7 linked regions of the Callithrix jacchus genome follow. The main gene of each other region encodes a partner of the protein of the gene in region 5 in a complex. Links are inferred from orthologs where the notes say so. Each region holds a gene or a part of one and is shown on either strand. Other genes may lie near its edges.

Region 1 (4,787 bases), on a different chromosome or scaffold from region 5:
GAGGCTGAGGCAGGAGAATCACTTGAATCCAGGTGATGGAGGTTGCAGTGAGCCAAGACTATGCCACTGCACTCCAGAGTGAGACTCCATCTCAAAAAAAAAAACAAAAACACATCCTCCCTCCCTCTCCCCCTTTCTTTCTTTCTTTCTTTCTTTCTTTCTTTCTTTCTTTCTCTCTTCTCTTCTCCTCTCTCTCTCTCTCTCTCTCTCTTTTTTTTCTTTCGAGTGTTACTCTGTCACGCAGGCTGGAGTGCAGTGGCATGATCTCAGCTCACTGCAACCTCCAACTCCTGGGTTCAAGCAATTCTCCTCTCTCACCCTCCCGACAGGTTCAGGCAATTCTCCTGTCTCACCCTCCTGAGTAGTTGGGACTACAGGTGCCCACCACCATGCCTGGCTAATTTTCTGTATTTTTAGTAGAGACAGGGTTTCATCATGTTAGCCAGGATGGTCTCGATCTCCTGACCTTGTGATCTACCCGCCTCAGCCTCCCAAAGTGCTGGGATTACAGGCAAGAGCCACCACACCCAGCCCCCACCATTTTTTTTTTTAAGACGGAGTCTCACTCTGTCACCCAGGCTGGAGTGAAGTGGCATGATCTCGGCTCACTGCAACCTCTGCCTCCCAGGTTCAAGCGATTCTCCTGTCTCAGCCTCCCGAGTAGCTGGGGATTACAGGCACACGTCACACACCCAGCTAATTTTTTATATTTTTGGTAGAGATGGGGTTTCACCATGTTGGCCAGTCTGGTCTTGAACTCCTGACCTCAAGTGATCCACCTGCCTCGGCCTCCCAAAGTGCTGGGATAACAGGCATGAGCCACTGTGCCTGGCCAAAATTCTCCTTTTCTTGAAACACTAAGTAACATCTCCGGAATACCAGTGTTCCTTAGAATACACATTGGAGAACTTTTTTTTTTGAGACGGAGTTTAGCTCTTGTTACCCAGGCTGGAGTGCAATGGCGCGATCTCGGCTCACCGCAACCTCCGCCTCCTGGGTTCAGGCAATTCTCCTGCCTCAGCCTCCTGAGTAGCTGGGATTACAGGCACACGCCACCATGCCCAGCTAACTTTTTGTATTTTTAGTAGAGACCGGGTTTCACCATGTTGACCATGATGGTCTCGATCTCTTGACCTCATGATCCACCCGCCTCGGCCTCCCAAAGTGCTGGGATTACAGGCTTGAGCCACGCGCCTGGCCTCACATTGGAGAACTTTTAGAGCCATCTTTCTCCTTCTGAGCCTTCCGACCTCTGGCTTTCCCCTCCCATACCTGTACTTCCGGCGGCAGCAACTGTTATAGTCGGGGGCTCTGTGCAGAGCACTCTGGGTGATAAGTCGTGTCTGGGTTAGCAGAGGAGCCTGATAAGGAGATGGGAGACAGAGTCAGAGGCTTCAGCCCTCTTCCCTTCCAGCCTGGTGTGTGCAGCAGGGTCTTGACTAGAATACACTCTCCATTCTGATTACCTCAGCTTTGGTTTCTTCCCTTCTCAATTCATTCTGATGTCTTGGATTCTGCTTCCTCTCCTTTCCTGGCTGCTTCTTGCCATAGAAAAGCTGCAAGCCTGAGGAGAAAGGGAAACAAGACTAAAAGCATAGCACCAAGAGCGGTGTGCAGAAATTTCGAGGGTTTATTCCCCATACCCTGTCTTTCCCCAAACTTACTGGATAGATGTTTCTTGCCTGCTCGGTGGGCAGTCAGCATAGCCAGGGTGTCCAGTACTGGTCGATGGGGGCAGATGGCACAAGCAAAACTGAGCAGGGGGAGAGAAGAGGATAATTGGTCCAGGGGAAGAGGGTGGGGCCAGTCCCTACAGTAAGTCCCACCCTGTCCTAGCAGTCCTTTCCAAAGCCCAACTCCAGGTCATCCAATCCCCACTTCTTCCGATCCTCACTTCCGGCCAAGGAATCCTAGATACTCCTGCTGTCCTGATTAATAACAAAAGTTTGGGGCCGGGCGCCGTGGCTCATGCTTATAATCCCAGCCCTTTGGGAGGCCGAGGCGGGTGGATCACGAGGTCAAGAGTTCGAGACCATCCTGGTCAACATGGTGAAACCCCGTCTCTACTAAAAATACAAAAAAATTAGCTGGGCATGGTGGCACGTGCCTGTAATCCCAGCTACTCAGGAGGCTGAGGCAGGAGAATTGGCTGAACCCAGGAGGCGGAGGTTGCGGTGAGCCGAGATTGCGCCATTGCACTCCAGCCTGGGTAACAAGAGCGAAACTCCGTCTCAAAAGAAAAAAAAAATTAGCTGGGCATGATGGTGCGTGCCTGTAGTCCCAGCTACTCGGGAGGCTGAGGCAGGAGAATTGCTTGAACCCAGAAGGCGGAGGTTGCGGTGAGCCGAGTTCGTGCCATTGCACTCCAGTCTGGGTAACAACAGCGAAACTCCGTCTCAATCAATCAATCAATCAATCAATAAAGTTTGTTGAAGCCGGGCATGGTCGCGCCCGCCTGTAATCCCAGCTACTCGCGACGCTGAGGAAGCAAGATCACTTGAGCCCTAGAGTTTGAGGACAGCCTGGGCAACACAGAGAGACCTCTATCTTTTGTTTGTTGAGCCTCTAACCATAGAACCCTCAGGCTTGGGCCACTCCTCGCTCTTACCGTCCATCCCGAAGCATCAGCGCCTCATCCTCTGGGATGTAACTGGCTAGCAGATCCCCGACTCTTCTTTTCTGCAGGGAGAAGGGGAAAAAATCCGGACGGCATCAGCAGATAGGAGAAACGGATGGAAGTGAAATGAGAGAAATGAGGAGTCAAATGGAATAAGGACCCTGGGGAGAATAGTGATCATAGACCGAAAAAGGTGTCACTACCCAGCTCTAAGTCGCCTCTTTCTCTCCCGCACCCCCGAGCTGTTGCCAGTGCAACAAAACAAAGCTCCTTCCCAACCTTCAGAGAGCGACTGAAGCTGCCCTGGATCCTCTCTGCTCACGCTTACTTTGAGAACATTGAGTTGACTCCAATCGTCTCCTTCCCTCTTGAAAGACATCACGACTGTGAGTCCCAGAAATGATAAATTCTCTTGTTCCGGTTTCTCAACTCCTCCAGGCCACCGTAGCAAGAGTGGGACAACTCTTTCTCTGTTTTCAGTCTCTTCCTGTCGGCCTCCGTACTTCCGGGGATGCGCTTCCACACAGGCTTTGCGCGTCCGGAAATCTACTCGCTGGTGCACGGAGGGAACTGCATTTCCTATGGTGCCCTGCGACACTGCAGACGCCGAGCCTTTTGGGAAATGAAGTCTTTTCTCAAAGAGCTTGCCGCTCTGCTGGATCCAGGCCCTCGCATCCTGGCGGATCTGCGGCATTTGGAGGGACAAGAAGCTAGATGTGGAGCCGAAATGTGAGGGTGTGACCTCTCTGATGAGTGGAAGGTGTACTACAGACTCTCGCAATCTTCGCGCTCTTCATCTGCGGCGACAGTTCACCTGGGGTGGGCTGATTTGTTTCTGACCCTAGCGGACGAACCCCGGGACCGGGCAGACCCGGGATGCGAGAGCCCCCAGAGGCCAGGCTACCGGACTTGGGGGCAAACTGAGGAAAGACTGTTGAGGATTATTTCTAGAGGTCAAAGGTCAGAGGTCAATGTAGCGAGGAGTTGTGGGGGGTTCACAGTCGGTGGGGTGCTTAGGGGAGAGATTCAGGGAGGGACTGAATACTCAAGGGACAGATTTGTGGATAACAAGCTTGGAGAGAGGAGAAACCGGGAGGGGGCAGGTGGCGTAGTGCCGGGGAGGCGGGGACACAGGGGAAGAGAGAAGGGGAAAGGAATCCCTTGAATATCCATTCCCAGACTTAAGGCCTGTCACCCTTAGTCTCGGCCGGGCCTTCCCCAGTTGCAACCCTACCTGTCGTTAGGGTGAAGAGATGGCTTCCCCGTCTAGACAGCCCCCCCCAGGGGGGTCAGGACTTCTTCAAGGGAGCCGGGCTCGTTCATATGGAAGCCTCGTGCAATCGGCCTGCTCCCCAGTGAGGGAGAGACGCCTGGAGCATCACTTGGAGCCTGGAGACACCCTGGCTGGACTAGCACTCAAATATGGGGTGACGGTGAGTTTTCCAGGATTGGGGTGCAGACAACAGTCAGGAGGGATTTAGTCCTGAGAAGAATGTAGTGGCCTTTCTAGGTAAACTCCTCTGAAAAGTTCCTAAAGTGTTACACCTGTTCTGCCTTTATCTTTGTTTTCCCATCACAGTGTTGCACTGCCGGGTTGGGACAAGTCCTGTCCTACTATTCCAATGGAGAGGAACAGCTCCAATTTTACTATGCCAGACACTGTGCTGGGGGCTTCACATACATTAGCTCATGTCACCCTCACACCCTATCAAGTACATTTATTGTTTCCTTTTGGCAGATGAAGAAACTGAGACTTGGATTGGTTAACCAGTTTGACTAAGGTCAAATAATGAGTGTCAGATTTGGGATTCAAACAGGTCTATCTGACGCTATTAACCACACAGAAACATTTTCTTTTCATTTCTTTTTTTTTTTTGAGGCGGAGTTTCGCTCTGTTGTCCAGGCTGGAGTGCAATGGCGGATCTTGGCTCACTGCAATCTCTGCCTCCCAGGTTCAATAATTCTCAGCCTCAGCCTCCCGAGAAGCTGGGATTACATTACAGGTGCCTGCTGCCACACCTGGCTAATTTTTGTATTTTTAGTAGAGTCACGGTTTCACCATGTTGGCCAGGCTGGTCTTGAACTCCTGACTTCATGATCCACCCGCCTCAGCCTCCCAAAGTGCTGGGATTACAGGCCACACAGAAAATTTTACACTGAGAGTGATTAA
Region 2 (2,802 bases), on a different chromosome or scaffold from region 5:
CTGCCACCATGCCTGACTAATTTTGTATTTTTAGTAGAGATGGGGTTTCTCCATGTTGGTCAGGCTGGTCTCAAACTCCTGACCTCAGGTGATTCGCCCGCCTCAGCCTCCCAAAATGCAGGAATTACAGGGATGAGCCACTGTGCCTGGCCAATAGCATTTCTTAATGTCCCTGTCTGTTTATGCTAAGCCAGACAAGTAAACAGAATCATAAAGATGTCTCAGATAATATCATGGCTAAGTTGCACCCAAGCAGTCTCATATTCTATTTGAGTTGAGTTTAATGCAGCATTCTGACCAATGTCATTTCTACAAGCTGAGATTGCCCCAAATTTGGCTGCTTTCAAGAGCCTGAGTTTAGAGAATGCTGCTCAGAACAGTTCTTTTGGCAGGGGACAGAGTAAACAGAGGCTCTGATCATTAAAGATCAGGTATAAGTAAACAAAACAGGTTATTTATCACCTCTTGGCTGCTCTGCTTCTAGTAGGAAAAAAGTATTTGTTACTGATGAATAATTATTCTGTCATTGTCACGGAAATGAGTAAACCTAAAAACACAGAAAAGTGGAAAAAAACCCCCAAGGGAACAGCTTCTTGGACTTTTAAGTGAATGGTAACCTGTGGCCACATCATGCTCTACTCTGATTTTTAGCAATCAAGCCTCAAAAAAAAAAAAAGACAGCAATAAATCCAATCCACATGGCTCTTGTAAAAAGGCATCTATTTGGCTTTTAATACAAAATGACTTAAGAGAAATACAGAGAGAAAATATCATACAAGCTAGTTACTTAAAAAAAAAAAAATTTCAACCAACAAATTTGTCACATTGGGCCTGCATTAGAAAACAGAAAACAAGAAAAAGAAAACAAATAAAACAGTCCCTGAAATCTGGCATGTGGTTTTTAGAAGCCATGGGGAGCTTGCCTTAGTCATCCTGGTGAAACGGGACAGAAGTGGTTTTTGGAATACGGCCACCGCCTCCTCTGTTTCTTGCTAGTAATGGTCATCTGAAGGGAGGGTGCTAGCCCGGGCAGCCAACATTTGACGTCACTTATGCAGTCTGAGGTCTTAAACACAAGCAGCCTTGGAATCTTCTATTCCATATCTTCACTGAATCTCTCCCATATACAGTCTCTTGTCACTCGATGCTGAGATAACTGAGGTAAAAAGAACAGAGCAGATAACTAGAAATAATGAAGGCTCAAGGAGACTTGGTACTCAAGGGCACTTGTGTCAAGAGCCAATTTTGGTATAAAAGAGCAATTGGATTTAGCTTAAATTCCTCTCCTCAACACCATCCACAAGAAATGGTAGCCTTGCTTTTCAATCCAAGTCCTCTAATATCATGAGGATGACTGTACTGTGGGAAATACGTTATCAGGCTCTAAATACTGATGTCCGCTGTCAGTCAATCCCCAAGAAAAAGACTTTCCCAGTCATTCAAGAAGAGAATATCTATGTCTGGACCAGTCATTTTGTAAATGTGCTTCTGCTTGTTACATTTAGCCCTGGAGAAAGTTACAGTTTGTCCTTTAATTCACGGCTTAAATTATTTGGTTTAGCCAGCAAAAAAATTTTAAGCTGAAATTTATAACTAAATATTAAGAAGTATCATTCTTTTAACCAAATACATCATTGAAACAGACTTGGTGGAAGTAAATTTAAAAAAACTAGACTTACCAACTTCCCTTTGAGGTCAAGAAGAAAATGGAACATTGCTCTTACCCTCACCACTTATGACCAATGGTGAGCCTCACTGATACCCATATAAAGACTGTTTGCGGCTGGGTGCAGCAGTTCATGCCTGTAATCCCAGCACTTTGGGAGGCTGAGGCGGGTGGATTACTTGAGGTCAGGAGTTCATAACCAGCCTAACATGGTGAAACCTCACCTCTACTAAAAATTAGTTGGGCATGGTGGTGGGTACCTGTAATCCCAGCTACTTGGGAGACTAAGACAGGAGAATAGCTTGAAACTGGGAGGTGGAGGTTGCAGTGAACAGAGCTCGCACCACTGCACTCCAGCCTGGGTGACACAGCAAGACTCCGTCTCAAAAAAAAAAAAAAAAAAAAAGGCTGTTTGAATGGAAATTCAAATAAAACAGATACCCACTTTTGACTCTGTATTCCCAGGATCCCTAAGTGGGGGTTTCCAGTTTCCTTTTCCCCCCTTGTCGGGACAGACTTACTGATGGGCTCGTCAGGGTGGAAAGCGACTTCATTGATGGAGCCAGCATGGCCAGGCAGCTTATACAATATTCTCCTGCTTGTAGTATCCCACACATACACAAACCTGTAAGGTATCATGAAAAGCAAGGATAAGGCCTTCTAGAACTGCGGGTAGGGCAGAGGCATGGCTATTCAAAGGAAATGAAAGCAACTATTATTTACTTACCTTACATTTACTGAACCATGTTCTGGCTTTTAGAAACTAGGAATAGAGAGTTTGAGTAAGACATGGACTTAGCTCTTGAGCAATGGGGTGGAGAAATAAAAAATATAAGTAGTACTGGCACGTTCGAGTATAAGCTTCTGAAACGGGAAACACCATAGGGAAGAAAATAGTTTTTCCTCCAGACATCACACAAAAACCTTTTTTTTTTTTTTGAGACAGAGTTTCACTCTTGTTACTCAGGCTGGAGTGCAATGGCGCGATCTCGGCTCACCGCAACCTCCGCCTCCTGGGTTCAGGCAATTTTCCTGCCTCAGCCTCCTGAGTAGCTGGGATTACAGGCACGCACCAGCATGCCCAGATAATTTTTTTGTATTTTTAGTAGAGATGGGGTTTCACCATGTTAACCAGG
Region 3 (3,168 bases), on a different chromosome or scaffold from region 5:
TATATGCTCCCCAGAAGAGGACTCTTCTCTAGGATGCTGTACATCTCACTTAGGGCTTGGAGGGGGATCAGGACAGAAGGGGATGAGGCTTGCAGAGGTGTGAGGCCAACGCAGCCAGCCAGCCTGCGATGTTTTCTCACCTGCCAATGGTGGAAGACAGACAGAGAAAAGGCTTGTCCCTGGGTGTGAGTCCGGAGATCAGTTTCAAAGCCAAAAGAGTCGATGGCTGGGATAAAGGCTTTGATGGTGTACAGAGGGGAGCCTGGAATGGGTGCATCCTGAGTCACGTGCCCCCTGCGACAAAAAAATAAAGGCCGAGTCTCTAGTTATACAAAGGCCAAAAGACAAGAAGCAATCTGCCATTGGCTGTTCCCAAATGCATCCCAGCCCAGAGTTACCATCAAAGAAAGAGTAACCAAGAATGTTATACAGAGCAGAAAAAGCTCGGGGCTCTCAGTGTAATTTCCTGTGGTCTTGAGTTGTTGTTTTTTTTTTTTATTTTTATTTTGGAGAAGCAGTTTTGCTCTTGTTGTCCAGGCTGGAGTGCAATGGCATGATCTTGGCTCACCACAACCTCTGCCTCCTGGGTTCAAGCGATTCTTCTGCCTCAGCCTCCCAAGTAGCTGGGATTACAAGCATGTGCCACCACACCCGGCTAATTTTTTATTTTTAGTAGAGATGGGGTTTCTCCATGTTGGTCAGGCTGGTCTTGAACGCCTGACCTCAGGTGATCCACCCACCTCAGGTTCCCAAAGTGCTGGAATTACTGGCATGAGCGACTGCGCCCAGCCTAATTCCCTGTGGAAGTCAAAGTGGCAGCAACCTCCGGAGAGGACAGGAGTGGGACAGTGATGGGACACGAGTCCAAAGACATTCCCATCACTGACTTGCCTCAGGACTTCCTCCAAGAGCTCTCTGAGGAGGGGACTCCCAAAAGAAACATCAAATTTTAATCTGAAGAAAAGCTGGGGTTTGCCTCACTCTTTTCCTACTTCCTTCTGGAAAATCAGCTCGCAGGGTTTCCAGAGTGAAGAGGGAAGGGGAGGCCAACCCCTTCTCCCTGTAGGAGCCAAGGTGCCTCGTGGTCTGCTCTTGCTCTCAGCACTCTCCCTAATATACTTGGGGCTGCTCACCTGCGCCTGGCCAGGACCGTATAAACAGCAGAGACGCAATCTGCAGGCGCCTGGACCTCTACAAAGTAGTAAGGCTCCATCAGACGAGGAGTGGCCTGCAGCAGAGTGAGAAGGGCCCTCAGCTTGGGGAAGGCTGGGGGCCTGCAGTCCCAGTTGCTCCTCCTCTTAGTGTCCTGTCCAGTGAAGCAGATCGTCCCCTATAGCCTCATTCTCTTACCATGAGGAAGGCAGAGTAGACAACTCTCCTGGCTGTGGGGATGATCTGGCCCCCGCCACGGTGCAGGGGCTCCTGGGCAACCACTGCATCCAGAATCTTAAACTTGACATTCCGAATCACTGTAAAGGAGGTGGGGCAGCTAAATGGAGAGAGGTTCTGGGCCCGCCATGGGGCCATGGCAGAGTAGCATTTGTCTTGCAGTCATGAAAGACATGGTACAGAAAACACACGGGAGGTAGCTGCTCTAACTGAATAAGCAAGGCCCATGGCAAAGAGGTCAGAAGTTAAGCAAATGCTCTTAGGGTTTGCTTCAGGCCATGCTCAAACACAGAGCTTTCCTGGAAGTTTATTTCCTTCTGCAGATTTTACATTTTTATGGACGTAGAATAAATCCCTGTACATTTGGTCCCATAAAGCCCAATCAGGGTCTATAAACCACTCCAATCTCATCATCTCCTTGATATTTCTCCTCAAATATGTCCAGGGCGAAATGCTTCTCAGAAATGAGGAGCAAATAACAGTTTAGAAATGACTTAAATTCCCAGGCTATACCACATGGTTGTACCAGGATAAGGAGGGAGAAGGAAAGAAGCTGGCCCAGGACATGGGACAATCCTGTGTAGCCCAGGCTGCTTCTCCTGCCCAGTCCTAAAGATGGTGAGCCCATCCTACTCTTAAGCCTGGCTGAAGGACCCTTGAGGACTGGGGTGGGGGAGTGCTGGTGGACTTACACTCATCACAAAGGGGGCCCTCCCTGGTTCCCCACTGGAAACCTTGAACGATGCTGTCCTTCACTGAGCCAAGAAGAGCCTTGTCAACCTACAGAGAAACATGAGGCCTCCTTAGCAGTCACCTTGACAACAGCTGAAGCATTTAGAGGAAGGAGAAGATAGATAAACCTGTAAGAGGATATTGTCCTTCACAAGAGGACACAAAATACTTTTTGGAAATAAACACTTTGTAGTTTCTTCCACTCAAGAGGTAAGAGACCGCCACCCAGTTCCCATCAGTTCTGCTGTACCTCGGAGGGTAGAGTATCATCCACTAGAATGTTGGGGCCAGTGGCATCAGGGCCAAAAGCCCAGATGGAACGGGCAGCCAGCAGATCCCAATCATACTTGGTCTGGAAGAACTCTCCTAGCTTCTTCCTGGGGAAAGGAGGAGACAATGGAGCTGTCGGCCAGCTCTGTGATTGCTGGTCCTGGAGCCACAGACCCTCCCTTCCTAGGAGACAGTCACCTCATTCTACCCACTGTGCCCAGGACAAGAGCAAAGGCAAAGATAAATGCTTCCAAGAAAGATGTGTGCTCTCAGAGACCCAGCAGGTAAGCTGTGGCATCCCTGCTTCCTTTTGACCCTGGCATCAGAGTCCTGTTCTCACCTGTTCCATGTAATCTGGACCACCTCATTCTCTATGTCCTCTGCCAGGCCCTTCTCAAGAGGCTCAGCAATCATGGTGATCTTGTTCCTGGTCAGAATGGAAATGGGTGGTGAGGAGGGCTAACAGAATAGCAGAAGAGGCATTAATAAAAAAAGGGTTACAAGATGGACAGCTGAGGAAGTAAAATCAGTGAAAACATGGGTTTCAAGTGTGGTGGCTCAGACCTGTAATCCCAGCACTTTGAGAAGCCAAGGCGGGAGAATCACTTAAACTCAGGAATTTAAGGCTACAGTGAGCATTTAATTTAAGGCTCTCACCACTGCATTCCAGCCTGGGTGACACAGCAAGATACTGCCTCTTAAAAACAAACACAAAAATACGAACAGCCTGGGCAACAAAGCAACAGACCCCAGCTCTATAAAAAATTAGTCAGGTGT
Region 4 (4,746 bases), on a different chromosome or scaffold from region 5:
TATATGCCGTAACAGGAGTGGGAGAAGGACAAGACAGGATACAGCAAAAAATAAGACATGCTTTCATGAAGACTAAATACTAGATAGGCAAGCAACAAGGAAGCAAATAAATTAAGCTCATTACAGATCGTGAAAGAGGCTGGGAGGGCAATAATTGGAGTCCTATGATAGAAAGTATCTGGGAAGAACCACCTTAGGATGTTCGAGGAGTGTCTGACATGAGATTTGAAGAAATCTAAGAAATTAGCCCTGACAAAAGCCATGGGTGGGAGGAGGGGTCACTCTAGGCAGAAGGAACATCAAAGGAAAAGACTCAAGAAATAACTTGGCATATTTGAGGAAGAGAAAGGAGGCCAATAAGGTGGGTATCTGGCAAGGAAACAAGTGGTAGGAGAAACAGGAGAGGTAGCAAGAGCCAAAACATGTAGCATCTTGCAGGCCAGGTTAAGCCAACTGGATTTTAAGCTAAGAGCAATGGGAAGCCAAGGAGAGTTTAAAATAGGAACACGGCATGATTAAAAAAAGAAAAAAAAGATTATTTGGGTTGCTGGATGGAGAACTGGGAGGCCAATAAAGAGGAAACTGCAGTCACTCAACTGAAAGGTGATGGTGGCTTGGACAGGGGCCATGGCCATGGAAATGAAGTGGACAAATTTAAGATACAGTCCGAGGCTGAACTGACTGGATTTGCTGATGGACTGATGTGTGCACATAAGAAAAAGGCAGGCTTTGCTTTATAACAAGTACTGAGACTGGAAAAACGGAGGAAAGGATAGATTTAAAGGGGAAAACCATGAGCTCCGCTTTGCCTGTGACAAACATAAGAAGCCTATCCGATATTCACGTGGGGAAGTCAGGTGGGATCCCACTGTGGAACTCCGGGTGAGACTCCGCTTAAGTGACCATTCGGGAGTCACCACACTGCATCACTCTACGTCCTGGTCCGTCTGTCTGCCTTCCTGGGACCCAAATAACTGCCTTCTCCACTTTCAGCCCTGAGCATCTGCGCTGTATCCTCTGGGCAACCCGGAGCGGAAAAACGCTACGCATGAGCTTGGGTCGGGCGAGGCTCCCGAGGAATCGCTCTGCGTGCGGAGGACAAAGGGACAGGGACAGAGCGGAGGGCCGGACGCGGCCTGCCGAGCTGCTCCCGCGGCCGCCGTCACGTCCCCGCGGCGTGGAAGACGCGCAGTAAACTGCATCCTGTCTCCACGTCTGGCCTCCCACCCCAGCCTCCCGGCCTCCTCCGCCCTGCTGCGGCGTCTCCCGCTAAGCCCGCTGGGCCTCGCTCTCACCCTCCTCCTCCTCCTCACGCCGGGCCTTGCTCTTGCCCTTGGACTTCTGGCTGCGCGGTTGGCGTCCCCGCGGCTCCCCGCCGGCCGCGCGCTTCCGAGCCATGTTGTTCTTCGGGGCAAAATCCACTTCGTGAGTGACGCACCTGGCCGCTGTGCACCAGAGCGCGGGCTCCGCCCACAGGCGGGCGCGTCTAGCCCTGTCCCTTAGTTGGAGGCCTAGCCACGCCCCCGAAGGAAGCTCCGGCGATACCCGTGGCCACCAAAAACCACAGGAAGCAGGAAGGAGAAAAACAGATTTCTCTCTACTTCCGGTGTATTATATCCTCCTGTTTCCGGAGATCCGCGTTGCTCTTGTGTTCTCGCGAGAAGCGGGAAAGAGCGCAGGGTTTGAAACATGGCGGACGACGTAGACCAGGTGAGTGTACTTTAAGGGGGTCGCTTCGAGCAGCTTCGCGTACTAGGGCTGGTTTTCCCAAACTTAGGAAAAATGGCCAGTCGTGTCTCCTCCTTCCAGGTCACCATGGTCCAATCCGCCCCGTCCTTTCCGTAACCGCCCCCTGCTCCGAATTTTGCTGCAGGCCCTGAGATCTTTTCCGGTTAGAAGCCCACCTGACTACTATTCATCACACTCTTCAATTCATTTTTTTAAATCTGTAAATTATTATCCTTGCCTGCCTCACGGAGCTGTTAGGATTCCAATAGAAAGCCTGATGATGAAGTTAGAAGTTCATATCATTACTGAGCGCAACCATTATTTATTCATTTAGCATATTTAGTGAAATTCAGCTTTGTATGGTTAGACACTATTCTAAGGGCCAGGGACACTGACATCGACATAGAAGTGATCCCTGCCATTACTTGGAGCTTATATTCGTGAGGAGAACAGATAAAAGTAAATATAAATATGTAGGAGACATAGGAACTGTGATGTGATGTGAAGGAAACAAGGAACTAGTTTGCAGAATAACAGATGGCCCTAGAAGCTTTTTCACCTTGTCTTTCTCTTCCTCAAATATCTTTGGAGATCAAGCCACAAATTCTTAAGCTTTCTACTGAAATCTCACCTCCTCAGAGAGGACTTCTCCTGCGCCAGTAGCACACGCTTTACTCTTCTTACCCTGCTTCATTTTTCTTCAGAGCGCATTATTATTTCGTATTAAATATATGCATCTGTTTTTAATGTATAACCCTTCCCACTAGAATTTAAGTGCCATAAGAGCAGGTTTTTTGTTTTGTTCTTTCTTCTGTCCTTAGGGTTTAGAACAGTGCTGGAAACACTCAACAAATATTTACTTAATGAGGCCTCTTTGAAAAGTCAATATTTAAAGCTACAGTGGGCATCGTAGACAGAGGCTTAGGTAGCAGTAGGGTTCTGTCGTGTGCATATTTTGACAGTATTTAATTATTTATTTGTATGCCTCTCCACATTACAATGAGCTCCTTGAGAGTGGAGATTGTGACTTCTATATCGTTATAATCTAACAGTTGGTTATCTGATCCTTTAACAAACACCTGTTGAACTAGGGAAGTAGGGATCAGTCGAGTCAGGGTTTTGTTTTTTCTCTCATCTGACCTTTTGAAGCTTTAGAGCCTGTTGCATTCAGTCACCTTCCTCCACTGGCCTCATGTACTTAATGAAGATCTACTTGAATAGTCTTTCTCTTAATGGCTGCAACCATTCGACCCCAAGTCATCCTAGCCCTGACCTCTAAAACCGACGTTTCCAGCAGTTCTTTAATAATACTAATAGGAACCATTTCTTTTCTTTTTCCTTTTTTTTTTTTTTGGACAGAATCTCACTCTGTCATCCAGGCTGGAGTGCAGTGGCACAATAGATCTCAGCTCACAGCAACTTCCACCTCCTCAAGCGATTCTCCTATCTCAGCCTCCCGAGTAGTTGGGACTACAGGCGCGTGCCACCATGCCTGGCTAATTTTTCTGGTTTTTTTTTTTTTTTTTTTTTTTTTTTGAGACGGAGTTTCGCTCTTGTTACCCAGGCTGGAGTGCAATGGCGCGATCTCAGCTCACCGCAACCTCCGCCTCCTGGGATCAGGCAATTCTCCTGCCTCAGCCTCCCGAGTAGCTGGGAATACAGGCACGCGCCACCATGCCTGTAAGTTTTTGTATTTTTAGTAGAGACGGGGTTTCACCATGTTGACCAGAATGGTCTCAATCTCTTGACCTCGTGATCCACCCGCCTCGGCCTCCCAAAGTGCTGGGATTACAGGCGTGAGCCACCGCTCCCGGCCAATTTTTCTGTTTTTAGTAGAGATGGGGTTTCGCCATGTTGGCCAGGCTGGTCTCAACTCCTGACCTCAGGTGATCCGCCTGTCTCAGCCTCCCAAAGTACTGGGATTCAGGCGTGAGCCACCATGCCCAGCCAGTAGGAACCGTTTATTACTATTTTCTGTTTACCTGGCACTGTTGTAAATACATTAACTACTTTAAACTTCTCAAGAACCCAGAAGGAAGGTTGTGGCCTCCTCAATTACAAATGAAGAATCAGAATTACAGATGGCATGATTTTTAATCTTAGTTCATTAGAGTCAGGTCACAGCCAGGAGTTGAACCCAGACTGCCTGACTCCAAAACCAGTGCTTTCTTTTTTCAAGACAGAGTCTCACTCTGTTGCCAAAGCTGGAGTGCAGTAGCACGATCTTGGCTCACTGCAACCTCCGACTCCTAGGCTCAAGCCATCCTCCCCCCTCAGCCTCTGAATAGCTGGGACCACAGGCATGTGCCACTGTGCCTGGCTAAGCCAGTGCTTTCAACCAGCGTTTTATACTGTCTACTAAATATATTCATCTTACTGGCCAGTTGGCAGCCTAAACTCAACCTGTGCTAAATTCATAATCTTCCCATTAACCTACACCTCTACTTAGCATTCTGACTAGTGTATGGTAGACATTGAGTGAGTGTTTTTCCAACGATTACATAATATTTGAGATAAAGCTAAAGTCCCTGAGAGCCCATACCCTGAAATTGGGTCAGGCAGTTTGATTTTGAGGGAACAAAGAATAGTCATGATTATTTTGCTGTGTAACTCCTTTTTGTGTATGTGTGTTTTAACCTACATTTATGTAGCACATATTATATGAAAGGCACTGTTCTAAGCCGTCATAGATATCACTTAAGCCTCACAACAACAGTATTAGGTAGACACTGTTATCTCCATTTTATAGCTTAGGAGACTGAAGCAGAGAAAGGTTAACTTGCTCGTGGTCACACAGCTTAACAGTGATTTAAGCAGGTCTCTATCTCTAGTACTGCCTTCCTTAACTTGTTTGTTTTATCAGCAACAAACTACCAACACTGTAGAGGAGCCCCTGGATCTTATCCGGCTCAGCCTAGATGAGCGAATTTATGTGAAAATGAGAAATGACCGAGAGCTTCGAGGCAGATTACACGTAAGTACATTTATCAAGTTACCTTGAAATCAGATTCCTTCCAA
Region 5 (4,101 bases):
AAGAGAAGAGAGCTCACCCACCAGCTGACAGGACCACAGCAAAGGGCTGGGAGGCACAGATGGCTCAGGCAGAAGTCAGTGGGCCTGGGCACACTCACTGCCAAGGGCCTTGCAGTGCACACCCACAAGGTGTATCTTTTGCTAGAGAAGATGGTGACAATGAGGGTGGCCCTTCCCTGAGGAAGCAGAAAGAGCAATAGTTCTAGCCATAAAGCCAGAATTTCTGAAAACTCTTCCTTCACCAGGACAAAAGGTACAGAGCTTTTGGTTCTATCTTCTCACAGCTGCCTCTTGCCTGGGAAGGGCAAGGAGATACTCTGATTAGTTTTTTTGGGGGGGAGGGCATTTCAAAGGATTACACACTATTATTACATCTTTAAACTTGAGCTTTCATCCATGGTTCTTGGCTCATAATTCCTGTAGACCTTGTTATAGTATTTTGTTATAACATTGGGGCACTTTAGGCCTCAGAAGCAGGACTCAGGAAACAGAATCTCTCTTGAAACTTCTCCTGCCCTCCTTCCACCCGCCCAAGGCAGGACCCTAATCTGATTGTGGGTCACAAGACCTCACTCCAGAGAAAGGTCATGTCCTATGCCCTGGAGGAAGAAATGCTGCAGAGAGGCCAAAAAAGAATCTGGACAGGCCTTGTAGGGTTTCCTCATCCTGTCTATTAGTATTAGATCACACCCTCTTGTCTAATTGCATTTCCACATGGTTGTCCATCCTTCAATCATGTCTATCCAATGAAGTCTCTATAAAAAGACCCAAGAGGACAGGCTTAGGGGAGCTTTGGGACAGCTGACCACGTGGAGCCCGACAGGAAGGTGAACAAGAACTCATCCAAGTGCCAGGAGGAAACTCCATGCGGACAGAGCTCTCGTGCTTGGGACCCTTCCAGATTTCACCCTATGCATGCATCTCTTCATGTGGCTGTTTATTTGCAGCCTATAAAATATCCTTTGTGGCCAGGCGTGGTGGCTCACCTGAGGCCAGGAGTTCGAAACCAGCCTGACCAACATGGAGAAACCGCCTCTAAGAATACTATAAAAAAAAAATAGCCGGGCGTGGTGGCGCATTCCTATAATCCCAGCTACTCGGAGGTTGAGGCAGAAAAATCACTGGAACCCAGGAGACGGAGGTTGCAATGAACCGAAATTGCGCCATAGCACTCCAGCCTGGGCAACAAGAGCAAAAAACACCTCCGCCGTCTCAAAAGAAAAAATCCTTTGTTGTAAATCAGTAAACTTAAGTATGTGATTCCTACTCCAGCAAATTCACTGAACCTAAGGAGGGAGATGTGAGAACCCTGATTTGAAGCCATTCAGATGTTCTGGAGGACCGTACTTAGGGATAGTGGGGAATGGAGGGGCAGTCTTATGGGACCAGGCCCTCAACCAGTGGCTTCTCAGGCTATCTCTAGACAGATAATGTCAGATCTGAAAAACACCCAGCTCGTGTCTACTGCAGAACTGACTGCTTGCTTGGTCACACAAGTCTTCTTTGTTGCTTGCTGTGTTGTAAGAGCAGAGGAAAAACAGTTTGACTTTTTTTCCTATATAAAACATGTATAGCAGCTAAAGATACCAATGGAGAATCCAGTGCCTTCCCTGCCTGCAAACTATTTTTTTTTCAACCAACACTAAGACAGTTTCTAAGGGCTGCAAATACTTTGTTACCTGATCCACATGGCAGAACTTCTCAGGAACCTAAATATAAAACCAAATTAAGCTAACCAAGAAGCAAGGCCAGACTAGGAAACTGGGAAAAGGACCGTCCTACTTTTGGAATGTACTAAAGGAAGGCTTTATTTCTGAAAATGGAAGTCCACTGTCAGATCTCCCTAAGTACATGCTCAGTGTCTATCCACATTACCCAGTCTCCCTAGAAAATGCTGCCCTCACGCGTCATGAGTCAGCTCATCTGCTCTGTGCTGTGACTGCTCAGCAAGATAGACAAGGGCAAGCCATCCCAGACTCTTGCACAGAACTTGTAAAAAAGAAGGGCCTCTCCAGGCACGGTGGCTCACGCTGGTAATCCCAGCACTTTGGGAAGCCAAGGCAGGTGGATCATTTGAGGTCAGGAGTTCAAGGCCAGCCCGACCAACACGGTGAAACCTCATCTCTACTAAAAATACACACACAAACAAAATTAAATTAAAAATAAAAAATGCCAGGCGTGGTGGATCACAAGGCCAAGAGATCGAGACCATCCTGGTCAATGTGGTGAAACCCCGTCTCTACTAAAAATACAAAAAAAAAAAAAAAAAAAAAAAAAAAAAAAAAATTAGCTGGGCATGGTGGCGTGTGCCTGTGGTCCCAGCTGCTTGGGAGGCTGAGGCAGGAGAATTGCTTGAACCCAGGAGGCGGAGACTGCAGTGAGCCAAGATCGCGCTATTGCACTCCAGCCTGGGTAACAAAGAGCGAAACTCCGTCTCAAAAAAAATAAATAAATAAAATAAAAAATAAAAAATTAGCTGGGCATGGGAGTGCATGCCTATAATCTTAGCTACTTGGAAGGCTGAGGCAGAATTGCTTGAACCCGGGAGGCAGAGGTTGCAATGGGCAGAGATCAAGCTACTGCACTCCAGCTTGGGTAACAAAGCAAGACTCTGTCTCAAAAAAATATAAAAAATTACAATAAAAAAAAGGGCCCCCTAGAAATTTATTATAGATTTATCAACTCTTTCATTGAACACAGGAATACTGTCTTCTTAAGACAATTATTAAGACAGCATTCCTATCTTCAGTGAAAGAGTTGATAAATCTCCTATAATGAATTCTTTTTCTTTGGATTTTATGTAAGCCCTGTTACTGGGATCCAATGCAGCAAGACAGAGAAGGCCAGGCAAGGCCTCATGGCCTCACAGGATCTCTCCATGTTGCAAGGGGAAGGGGTGGCAGTGGGTGTGGAGAGAGCAGGGGTCAAGCCCACTTCATCCCCAGGCAGTTAACAAGGCCCCTTTCTATAAGACACAAGACAAACCTGTATTTTAAAACCTGTGCATGAAGAGCACCTACCTTGGGCCTTGAGAATAGCAGCTTTTCCTCGGCCAGCCCCTGAGCCTTGGTTTTTATTTTTCATGCTCTTTAACATGGGTGCATTCTTCAGCATGTCAGGCAAAATCAGAAAGCGAATTTTGCTGCCACGGATGTATACCTGCTCCAGCTGTGCCACTCGGCCATCTCTGTATGTGACTGTGATGTTGGACATCTGGAAGGAAATCACCAGCTAATCAGCTAACAGTCAACAGCACCAGTGGTGGGGAGGGCCTTGACTGTTGGGAGGGTTAAGTCCTGAAAAGCAGATTGACATTGTGACAAAGCTGGTGAATTACTCAGCAATGGTCAGTACTAACTGTGTATATCAGGGACTGCACTGAGCACTTTACCTGAATAGTCCTCACAACACCTCCAGCGTGGGTATGAGTGTTCCCATTTTTATGGGTTAAAAAAAAAACCAAAGCAGTTATCCAAGGTCAAACAGCTGGAATGCAGGGAACTCCAGATTTGAACCAGCTGGTCTAGCTTCAAAGCCCTAGCTGTGCTGTACTGCCTGCTGAGCAAACGTGAAGAGCTCTTGAAGGTGCTAGACCTGACTAAAACAGCTTCAAACTGCTGGTCCAAACCGTGTCTTCCCCTGCATTGCCTGGCAGTCAGATTTCAAAGGCACCACAAAGGTCACGAGTGTATACCAGATGCAGTTCTGACCCTCCAGAGTGCATACTCTAGAAGGTGAGACAGAACCCTCTAGCTTGAGTGACTAGGGACTGAGATATGGAGGACACCCAGCGTGCACAGGTACCACAAGGCCTATATAGAGGGCCTGAGATTACAAGGAAAAGAGCAGGCACTTGGGCAGAAGCCTACAGGATGCAAGGACCAGAGGAGTCAAATAATGACCCTGGACAGGGCTGTTATTTCAGATAAGGGGTCACTCAAGTTTGTCGAAAGAGGAAAGATCAACAGGGTTAAGGCAGCACTTAGGACCTAAGATAAATGTGTCAACATGGATAGACTGCAGGTTGGACAAATGGGGAGCCTGGAGTTGAGACCAGCTTAGCATGGGAGGGTGACACCAATCTGCCAGCATCAACCTCAA
Region 6 (4,101 bases), on a different chromosome or scaffold from region 5:
TTGTTTTTGATTTGCATTAAACATGCACTTATAAAAAAATTTAATTTGCAAGAGTTCCCAAAACTTAGCTATCTCTTTCATAGGTCTTAACTATAAAATCTGAAGTTTTAGGTATAATTAAAGTGATATAATTTGGCCAGGTGCAGTGGCTCATGCCTGTAATCCCAGCACTTTGGGAGGCCAAGGTGGGTGGATCACTTGAGGTCGGGAGTTTGAGACCATCCTGACCAACATGGAGAAACCCCATCTCTACTAAAAATTAGCCAGGCATCATGGCACATGCCTGTAATCCCAGCTACTCGGGAGGCTGAGGTTGCAGTAAGCCGATATCGTGCCATTGCATTCCAGCATGGGCAACGAGAGCGAAATTCCCTGTCAAAAAATAAAATAAAATAAAATGATATAATTCTACCCGCTGTTCTTCAGGTCTAAAGAGTACTGAACTTAAACCATCTCTACCTGATGTTTCCTCTTGGTTTATAGATAAACAATCTTCACCAGGCAGGGGACACCAGGCTATGGAGTGGATTTCATCATCATGGCCTCGAAGCCTATGAATAACTTCTCCTTTCTTACTGATGTCAATTATAACCACTATGCCATCTTTGTACCTAAAAAACAAGAATTAGAAATGTTACTCAAAAAATGAAGTCAGAACAGGGTCTCTAGTAAACATTTTGGCTTAGAGTTATCATTGGTGCATTCCTTAAAGTTAGGTGCATTCGGGGTGGTGGAGGAGGAAAGAACCAAAAATAATTTTGTTTTTCCCTTTTTTAAAAGTGCTCATCTTATGCTTCTTGGTTTTGTTAAAACCTTCCTCTCTATGATCAAACTCTTGGCATTAGGTAATACTGTGTATGTTGCCTGGTACAAAGCTCACAGTGGAGCATGATTTTGTTCTAAGGGAACTTTTATAGTTTTTGCAAGGGTCCAGCAACTTTTTTTTTTCTGCTCTCTGTTGCCCAGGCTGGACTGCAGTGGCACAATCACCACTTACTACAGCCTTGACTTCCCTGGCCCAAGCAATCCTGCCATCTCAGCCTCCCAGAGTAGCTGAGACTATAGGTATGTGCCATGCCAGGCTAACTTTTATATTTTTTTTGTACTGATGGGTTTCACTATGTTGCTCATGGCTGGTTTTGAACGCTGGGCTCAGGCAATCCACTTGTTTCACCATGTTGCTCATGGCTGGTCTTGAACACCTGGGCTCAAGCAATCCACGCCTCCCAAAGTGATGGGATTACAGGTGTGACCCACCACACCTGACCAACTCTTCTAATTGAGATAACCGTGTCCTAGTCCACTGGAAAATCATCTTTATTTTATAAGTGATACTACTTTTTAAACTGTGAACTTAACAAAAGTTACAGAATTCTATACTCTAGACCTCCATATTCCAAGGCTGTCAGTTTATGAATCAGAAGAAACTGAGAAATTCTAATAGCTTTTTGAAAATAAATTATTTCAGACACATAAGAAAGTAATCTACCACCCTGCCTAAGAAAAATAATGACCAATAGAGCTGAAGTCCTCTGTACATTCCACCTCCATCAAACCTCTCTCCTTGCCAGATCTCTTCTTCTCTTCTTTTACCAGAGGCCAAACACTTTTTGTGAATTGTGTGTTATATCATTCCTAGCCTTTCTTTGTATATATTCCTAAATAAGATACAGAGTTTATAAGTTTTAAAACTTCATATATATGCTATCACCTATTTTCCTGCAGCTTGTTTTTTTCACTCATTCTGTTTGTAAGTCATCCATGCTGATACACGTAACTCTACTTCCTGGCCAGTCATTACACTATTGTATTAGTACCTCACTGTGTGAATGTACCAAAGTTTATTTATTTTCCTTTGAAGGGCTTCCCTATTTTACAAGAAAAAGATACTTTTAATGTGCATGTATACATCTAAGACAATTTCAGGTTTCATGTCTCATAATGAAACTGCCAGGATGTTAAGATATATGCATCTTTATAAAAAGTACAAGCGGGTGCAGTGGCTCCAGCCTGTAATCCCAGGACTTTCGGAGGCCGAGGTGGACAGACACAAGGTCAAGAGATCGAGACCATCCTGACCAACATGCTGAAACCTTGTCTCTACCAAAAATACAAAAATTAGCCGGGCGTGGTAGTGCTCGCCTGTAGTCCCAGCTACTCGGGAGGCTGAGGCAGGAGAATTGCTTGAACCCGGGAGATGGAGGTTGCACTGAGCCAAGATTGCGCCACTGTACTCCAGCCTGGCGACAGAGTGAGACACTGTCTCAAAAAAACCCCACAAAACTGCATTCTACAAAGTGGTTCTATCTATTCACACTTCCTACACATTAGAGCATTTGACAGGGAAAAATGCCAGTACAGCTTTATTTTTTAAAAAAGAAAAATAAATACTAGAGTATTCCAATCTTTGAAGACCAGGACTTTGAAAACCACCAAGTTATGCAATCTGATTGTCAACAGATCAAGCTATTTAGAAATTTGAATCAAACTTTCTGGGAATAATACTCTTCTGAAGATCCTCCCCTGACTGCTGCCTACTACCTTTCTGTTCATTTCCTCTAGCACCCCTACTGCCAATACTGCTCCCCCTTCACAAGACGGCCGATCCAGTCCCCTTCCATTTTCACTATCACTTACCAACACCAGTCTTTCTATACTTCCCCTCACCCCATGCAGCACCGCTTTCATGATCCATCCCTATCATCAACTTTTTTTTTTTTTACAAGTCTTGCTTTATCACCCAGGCTGAGGTGCAGTGGTGCAATCTCGGCCCACTGCAACCTCTGCCTTCCATATTCAAGCAGTTCTCCTGCCTCACCCTCCTGAGTAGCTGGAATTACAGGTATGCGCCACCACACCTGGCTATTTTTTTTTTTTTTTGAGATAAGAGTTTCACTCTTGTCGCCTAGGCTGGAGTGCAATGGCGCATCTAGGCTTACTGCAACCTCCGCCTCCTGGGGTCAAGTGATTCTCCAGCCTCAGCTTCCCAAATAGCTGGGATTACAGGCATGCACCATCATGCCTGGCTAATTTTGTAGTTTTAGTAGAGATGGGGTCTCTCCACATTGGTCAGGCTGGTCTTGAACTCTCAACCTCAGGTCACCCACCAACCTTGGCCTCCCAAAGCGTTGGGATTACACGTTTGAGCCACTGCACCTGGACTTATTATCAACTTTAAAAAATATCATTACAGCCCCTGTCTCCTCCCTCAAGAGTATTTACTCCACAAAGCCCCAAACCTGGCTGAATCCAACCATCTCCTTTCTCAAACAGTTTGGGTTTACTTAAAATTTATAGCCACAATTCTTTGTTTGGCACAACAGTGAACACTGGGCCTACAATTTCCCTTAGTATATTCATTTTCCTATTCTCTTTGACTGTTTTCATACCTTCTTCCCATAACCAGTTTCGACCCCATGCTGAATCTGATTCTACCACTCTGACTTATAGCTCACTGAGAAAATCAGAAATCCCAGAATGGAATACCTTGTTCTTCCAAACACATCTACAAACGTACCTGTACCTATTTCTATATTCCCTGCTATTCTTTCTTCTTGTCATCTGAGTCCAGTCCCCTCTTGACTTTTCACCATCACTCCTGCAACAAGCTCTCCCTCTTTTCAAGCCTTACTTCCATCAGCATAAAAACAGGTCCCTGGTATCTACCATTTAATATTCCCTTGACCTCATCTATCCCCTCTGGCTTCATGTCTATGCACACTTTTACAACAAACTTTGTGAAAGGGTTGTTTCTTTTTATACCTCTATTACATTAGTCCCCAGTCTTTCAAATTCACTCCAATCAGAATTTCGCCTTCAACATTCTAGAGAAATTGCTTAAGTCTTCAAATTAGAGAAAATGGACATCTTTCAGTGAGAAGTACATAAATGGTGAAGGAAAGGGGGATGTCCATCCTGGTAGATCATTGTGAAACAACCTTGTTGATCAATGGGGAAATGGATCCCAATGTCACACTGCTTTCCCAATCTAGACGGAGTGCTCAGAACCAGACAAACTGAGCAAAGTCATCTGACACCTGGGAGTTCATGTTATATCAAAAGGCAGCACAGAAAGTGAAAAAGGTGAAAGAGGACGCTTCC
Region 7 (4,715 bases), on a different chromosome or scaffold from region 5:
TCAGGAAGGACTCACAAGGTAGCTTTTCAGGTGGAAGTGCTGAACTCTGTCTAGCTCCACCCATTTATAAGTTAGACTGAGAGACAGATTAAACATGAGTCACCAGTGAGTTCCTCCTTCCCACCAGCTAACCCATTCTCCAGAAGTTAATATGTCCCAAGGCCAAGGCAGCCCATACCCTGATTTTGGTATCTGTTCTCTGGGAAAGACTTACTAACTTGACTATATATAGTAAAGCCTTGCTTTAATCCATGCTTAGAGTTTGCACTTTGTTATAGGCATTCAAATGTCTCTTCCAATGTCCACTGGGGAATGTATATACTGAGAAAAAGTATAAGTCTGGGAGTTTGCTAAAACTAGTATGCTCTGTGGCTTAATTGTTCTACCATCTTCCCATGTTCGGATAAACAGAAAAGCAGGGAAATTCAACAAGGAAGCCTTCAAAGTTATCAGTGGGATCAGATGTATTACCAATAGCCACTACTTTCTTGAACTAGCTCCAGGTACCATGAACAAATGATGACCAAGTCAGGGATATGACAGGTAGTACAAAATTCCATCTAAATACAGGTGGACAATAAATTGAAAATATTATTCAAGTTAAGGCATGGGCATATGAAATATAAAATGTGTCACTGTGTTGTCTTTTGGGTGGTCTCAGGTACAAGCCACTGTAGGTCGCTCAACAATGTACGAGCACTGGGAAGGAAAGCTAACTTCTTTTTTTTTTCTTGAGACAAAGTCTCATTTTGTCCTCTAAGCTACAGGGCAGTGGAGTGATGTCAGCTCACTGCAACCTCTGCCTCCAGGGTTCGAGTGATTCTTGTGCCTCAGCCTGCCTAGTAACTGGGGCTACAAGCTAATACTTTTTGTATTTTTAGTGGAGATGGGGTTTCACCATGTTGACCAGGCTGGTCTCTAACTTCTGACCTCAAGTGATCCACCCTCCTCAGCCTCCCAAAGTGCTGGGAATACAGGTGTGAGTCATCGCGCCCCACCAGGAGTGTTAACTTCTAAAAATTCAGCAGCTGGGAAAGCTAACAGAGCTAAGAAAGCTGGCTTACAAAAAACAATTAAGTAGTCTAGGAAGTGTCAGAACTTCAAAAAGTGAGTGAAGATAACCTATCCAAAGCATAATAATAAATACTAGCTGGCCACGGATCAAATACTTTGGAGCAAGGAGGGCATCAAACCTGATTCTGAGGGCAGGGGAAGGACTAACCATAGTATGTCCCTAAAGGATGGGCTAAATCACAAGTTCTCAAACTAACTGGCATGAGAATCACTGAAATGCTTTGGAAAAACAAACAAACAAAAATAAAATCGTTGGGCCTCCATTTCCACGTTTCTGATTCAACAGAACTGGGGTGAAGCCCAGTAATTTGCATTGCTAACAAGCTTCAAGGAGATGATGCTGCTGATTCAGAACACATTTTTGGAAGCACGAGACCAGGATATTAGATCAAAGTTCTTGGCCTTTAACTTATAACCAAGACAGTCTCAGAGCCGCAGTCAACTGAGTTGGGAAAGACTCCATAAAAGTGACATGGACACTTAAAACTGGAAGGACATTTAAGGTGGAAAGGCAACATTCAGAACCAGAGAACAAGAATAGAGGCACAGAGAGAACTCATCAACTATATCATCGTAGTAATTTACAATAATATAAAGCGAACACAGTGTATCCGGCACTGTGCTGAGTGCCTCATCAGCATTAGTTTTCTTTAAACTCCAAAAAAGACAATCCAATGAGGCAGATGAGGTAATAACACAATACCTGCCTCATTGGATTGTTTTCAGATGATGAAGCTGACACTAAAGACCTTAGATAACTTGCTTCATGTGACAGACCTAATAATTGCTGAATAAAATTGAAATATTTGGTCTATCAGGCCCAACACAAGTGAGTTTCCTCCTCCTACTGATACTGCCTGTTACAATGCTTATCCTGGTCAAAACCACACTTTGAATGCAAATTTTCAATCTGCCCTTCCATAGTAGGATAATTTATGTTAACTTGAATTTCCAAGCAATCCTAAATACAGGTAAGAGTTAGGTTAACTGATCTGCTGAGGACAAAGTTTGCTTGTTTATCTATTTGGAGTCTCTGCACACTTAAAAATGCAAAAAAAACGCTTAGCGAATTCTTGCATCTAAAATAGCCTTTCTCCAAATCCTGCCTTCTCCACTTACCTCAAAAGAATTGTGAAGATTAAGTAGAAACAGGTACCGCGGTTTCTGCAGTTAAACTCAGTGAAATTAACTATTATATTTCCATTACATAATGCTGCACTGTAGGACCCAAGGCTCGTTAGAGAGGTGGAGCCTGGAAAGCCAAGTTTGGCAGTTACTACCTCACTAGAGCTGGATAAAGTATGACAGATAGATGAAGAGAACACAGGAGAAATGAAGCGTCTTCGAGACTAAACGCTAGAACTTATCAGTATTTACAGGACAAATAAATGAAGAAGAAACCACTAATGAAATTTCACACAAATAGTCAAAAGGATTTAAGGCCGGAAAAGACATAAGAGTGCAAGCACTTCAACTTTTAATCAACTACAGCTCATTAATCCCACTCCCTTGGCGCGGGGATCTGGGCACTAGTAAAGGGGCTTTCCCAAGCCCAACTGACTCCAGAGGCTCTAAGTACAAAACACACTGTACACGAAACAACAGCACCAGGATTGGTGCAGGACTTCAGATAGCTCCAAGAACCTCACAAGGAAGGTCGGCCGGTCTGCGCAGGCAGTGAGTGAGTTAACACAGCCCATTCCCTCACCACCGGCTCGGACTCCTCGGCCCCAGCCGCTCTCACACCCCCCTCGCGGGCCAGTGCCCGGCGGAAAGAGAGCCACGCGCACTCCAATGATGCTCACAGCTGTACCAGTGAGCCCGCACCCACTCCTGGGCCTCTTTCACTTCCCACCCGATCCAGCGACCCGCCACCCCCTCTCCGGTTCGCTGCCTGCGGGGACTCCACCGACTTCAGATAATTACCTAGAGCTCCACCGCGCCGCCATTACACCGGACGTACGTCACTTCCTTTTCCCGACCACCGACAGTAGGAAGAATGCGGATAGTGAAATACATAAAAACTTGAGGCTCAATCGGCTTGACACGTTATCCTTTTAATTTATTTCAAATAGCATATCATAATACCAGAGTCAAAGTGGTCGACCCAGGCACACTGTCTTCTTATCAAAATGGCGACAAAAAAGAGAAGTTGACATGACCTACAAAGTCCGAAATCCAGCGCCTAAGTTGACGGAAATGACGAAAGCGGAATTGTAGTTTAGCATGGAATGGCGCGGTGTAAGATGGGAATTGTAGTTCATACAGTTGGGCGCCTACGAGTAACATCCAAGGTGCTCACTGGCAGCCTAATAGTGTTTAGAGTCTAGCCGAATTTACTTTAATCTAAAACTATTTCTCTGCATTTAGGGGACATTTTTTTTAAAGCAGTCAGTTGTCACTTTTCCGTGAAAATATTAAGAGATTTTCCTGAGACTTTATAATAGAGTTTGACCAAGAGCCTAATAAGCAAAAATGTTACCAAATATTAAGTGCCTAATAAATTCCAAGACGTCCAGACCAAGAGAATGGGAGAATATTACATCATACATAGAGTAAATAATGAGGAAAAACTAATTCTGTAGAGAAGACGTTGCCTCTCTTTTAGGTTAAGGTACCAACTGGTATGAGCTGAGAGTAAGGAGACTGCCTGGCTGAGTGGGAAGCAGTTTGTACAGAGTGCAGAACTTGGGCATTGAACAAACTGTTTCTTTAAACTTCACTTTTCGCTAGTAACAAAACCTAAAACTTCAACTACTTGCTCTTTTGGAAACTCTCTTCCTCAAACAAGAATATCTTTATATTTTCAAACCTTTCATAAACCAGGCCTGGTTTTTCCACACACTTCTCTATTACAATTTTAGAGTGCTGTGCTTCCGCTCCTTTCTGGAGGCAGAGTGTGATGATTAAGAATAAAAACACTGCAGTTGGACCACATATGTTTGAGTCATGAGTTCTTTGATTATTTATGGATCACTGGGGCAAATAACTTCACATTCTGTGCCCATTACCTGATTTGTTAAATGGAAATACTAATATTACCCACCCATTAAGTAGTTTTTAGAATTGAATTAGTTGATTCACATAATGCATTTAAGATAATTGCTGGTATACAATAGTGTTAACTGTTTTATTTCATATTTAAGATATTTGGCCATTGTTCATGGCGCATTTTGGTGTACCAATACAGAGCACAGGAGACGGATCTGGAGATGAACATTTGTATTCATATATTTAAAAATCCACAATACTACCTGTGATGGTTAATTCTGAATTTCAACTTGATTGGATTGAAGGATGTAAAATATTGATCCTGGGTGTGTCTGTGAGTGTGTTGCCAGAGAAGATTAACATTTGAGTCAGTGGACTGGGAAAGACAGACCCAGCCTTAATCTAGTGGGCACAATCTAATCAGCTGCCAACAAATATAAAGCAGGCAGTAAAACATGAAAAGGTGAGACTAGGCGAGACTGGCCTAGCCTCCCAGTATACATCTTTCTCCCATGCTGGATGCTTCCTACCCTCAAACATTGGACTTCAGTTGTGAGATTCAGACTGGCTCTCCTAGCTTCACAAGCTTGCAGACAGCCTATTGTGGGACCTTGTGACCATGTAAGTTAATACTTAATAAACTCCCCTTT

The links.
Region 1: SNRPD3 (region 5) and SCNM1 share a complex: the UniProt entries of both Homo sapiens proteins name them as parts of the minor spliceosome. The link is inferred for Callithrix jacchus from reciprocal best matches to the Homo sapiens genes SNRPD3 and SCNM1.
Region 2: SNRPD3 (region 5) and SNRNP40 share a complex: the UniProt entries of both Homo sapiens proteins name them as parts of the U4/U6-U5 tri-snRNP complex. The link is inferred for Callithrix jacchus from reciprocal best matches to the Homo sapiens genes SNRPD3 and SNRNP40.
Region 3: SNRPD3 (region 5) and EFTUD2 share a complex: the UniProt entries of both Homo sapiens proteins name them as parts of the minor spliceosome. The link is inferred for Callithrix jacchus from reciprocal best matches to the Homo sapiens genes SNRPD3 and EFTUD2.
Region 4: SNRPD3 (region 5) and LSM3 share a complex: the UniProt entries of both Homo sapiens proteins name them as parts of the U4/U6-U5 tri-snRNP complex. The link is inferred for Callithrix jacchus from reciprocal best matches to the Homo sapiens genes SNRPD3 and LSM3.
Region 6: SNRPD3 (region 5) and GEMIN5 share a complex: the UniProt entries of both Homo sapiens proteins name them as parts of the SMN-Sm complex. The link is inferred for Callithrix jacchus from reciprocal best matches to the Homo sapiens genes SNRPD3 and GEMIN5.
Region 7: SNRPD3 (region 5) and CWC22 share a complex: the UniProt entries of both Homo sapiens proteins name them as parts of the minor spliceosome. The link is inferred for Callithrix jacchus from reciprocal best matches to the Homo sapiens genes SNRPD3 and CWC22.

What each region holds. Positions count from the first base shown.
Region 1 is NC_133519.1:11,058,514-11,063,300, reverse strand, and holds the start of SCNM1 (sodium channel modifier 1), read right to left. Parts: upstream 3,059-4,787; 5' UTR 2,997-3,058; coding exon 2,946-2,996; intron 2,680-2,945; coding exon 2,609-2,679; intron 1,754-2,608; coding exon 1,665-1,753; intron 1,565-1,664; coding exon 1,467-1,564; intron 1,362-1,466; coding exon 1,273-1,361; intron 1-1,272. Other genes in the region: LYSMD1 (lysM and putative peptidoglycan-binding domain-containing protein 1), read left to right, coding at 3,871-4,050. UniProt on the Homo sapiens protein: As a component of the minor spliceosome, involved in the splicing of U12-type introns in pre-mRNAs. Plays a role in the regulation of primary cilia length and Hedgehog signaling.
Region 2 is NC_133508.1:67,891,077-67,893,878, forward strand, and holds the end of SNRNP40 (U5 small nuclear ribonucleoprotein 40 kDa protein), read right to left. Parts: intron 2,292-2,802; coding exon 2,188-2,291; intron 1,157-2,187; coding exon 1,107-1,156; 3' UTR 704-1,106; downstream 1-703. UniProt on the Homo sapiens protein: Required for pre-mRNA splicing as component of the activated spliceosome. Component of the U5 small nuclear ribonucleoprotein (snRNP) complex and the U4/U6-U5 tri-snRNP complex, building blocks of the spliceosome.
Region 3 is NC_133506.1:85,261,696-85,264,863, forward strand, and holds part of EFTUD2 (116 kDa U5 small nuclear ribonucleoprotein component), read right to left. Parts: intron 2,819-3,168; coding exon 2,732-2,818; intron 2,499-2,731; coding exon 2,372-2,498; intron 2,170-2,371; coding exon 2,082-2,169; intron 1,470-2,081; coding exon 1,351-1,469; intron 1,229-1,350; coding exon 1,134-1,228; intron 295-1,133; coding exon 141-294; intron 1-140. UniProt on the Homo sapiens protein: Required for pre-mRNA splicing as component of the spliceosome, including pre-catalytic, catalytic and post-catalytic spliceosomal complexes. Component of the U5 snRNP and the U4/U6-U5 tri-snRNP complex, a building block of the spliceosome.
Region 4 is NC_133516.1:71,157,301-71,162,046, forward strand, and holds the start of LSM3 (U6 snRNA-associated Sm-like protein LSm3), read left to right. Parts: upstream 1-1,648; 5' UTR 1,649-1,689; coding exon 1,690-1,710; intron 1,711-4,591; coding exon 4,592-4,702; intron 4,703-4,746. Other genes in the region: XPC (DNA repair protein complementing XP-C cells), read right to left, coding at 1,296-1,398. UniProt on the Homo sapiens protein: Plays a role in pre-mRNA splicing as component of the U4/U6-U5 tri-snRNP complex that is involved in spliceosome assembly, and as component of the precatalytic spliceosome (spliceosome B complex).
Region 5 is NC_133502.1:195,120,723-195,124,823, reverse strand, and holds part of SNRPD3 (small nuclear ribonucleoprotein Sm D3), read right to left. Parts: intron 3,214-4,101; coding exon 3,021-3,213; intron 1-3,020. UniProt on the Homo sapiens protein: Plays a role in pre-mRNA splicing as a core component of the spliceosomal U1, U2, U4 and U5 small nuclear ribonucleoproteins (snRNPs), the building blocks of the spliceosome.
Region 6 is NC_133503.1:54,144,400-54,148,500, forward strand, and holds part of GEMIN5 (gem-associated protein 5), read right to left. Parts: intron 612-4,101; coding exon 460-611; intron 1-459. UniProt on the Homo sapiens protein: The SMN complex catalyzes the assembly of small nuclear ribonucleoproteins (snRNPs), the building blocks of the spliceosome, and thereby plays an important role in the splicing of cellular pre-mRNAs.
Region 7 is NC_133507.1:49,008,347-49,013,061, reverse strand, and holds the start of CWC22 (pre-mRNA-splicing factor CWC22 homolog), read right to left. Parts: upstream 3,212-4,715; 5' UTR 3,001-3,211; exon of another isoform or gene 2,194-3,000; intron 1-2,193. UniProt on the Homo sapiens protein: Required for pre-mRNA splicing as component of the spliceosome. As a component of the minor spliceosome, involved in the splicing of U12-type introns in pre-mRNAs. Promotes exon-junction complex (EJC) assembly.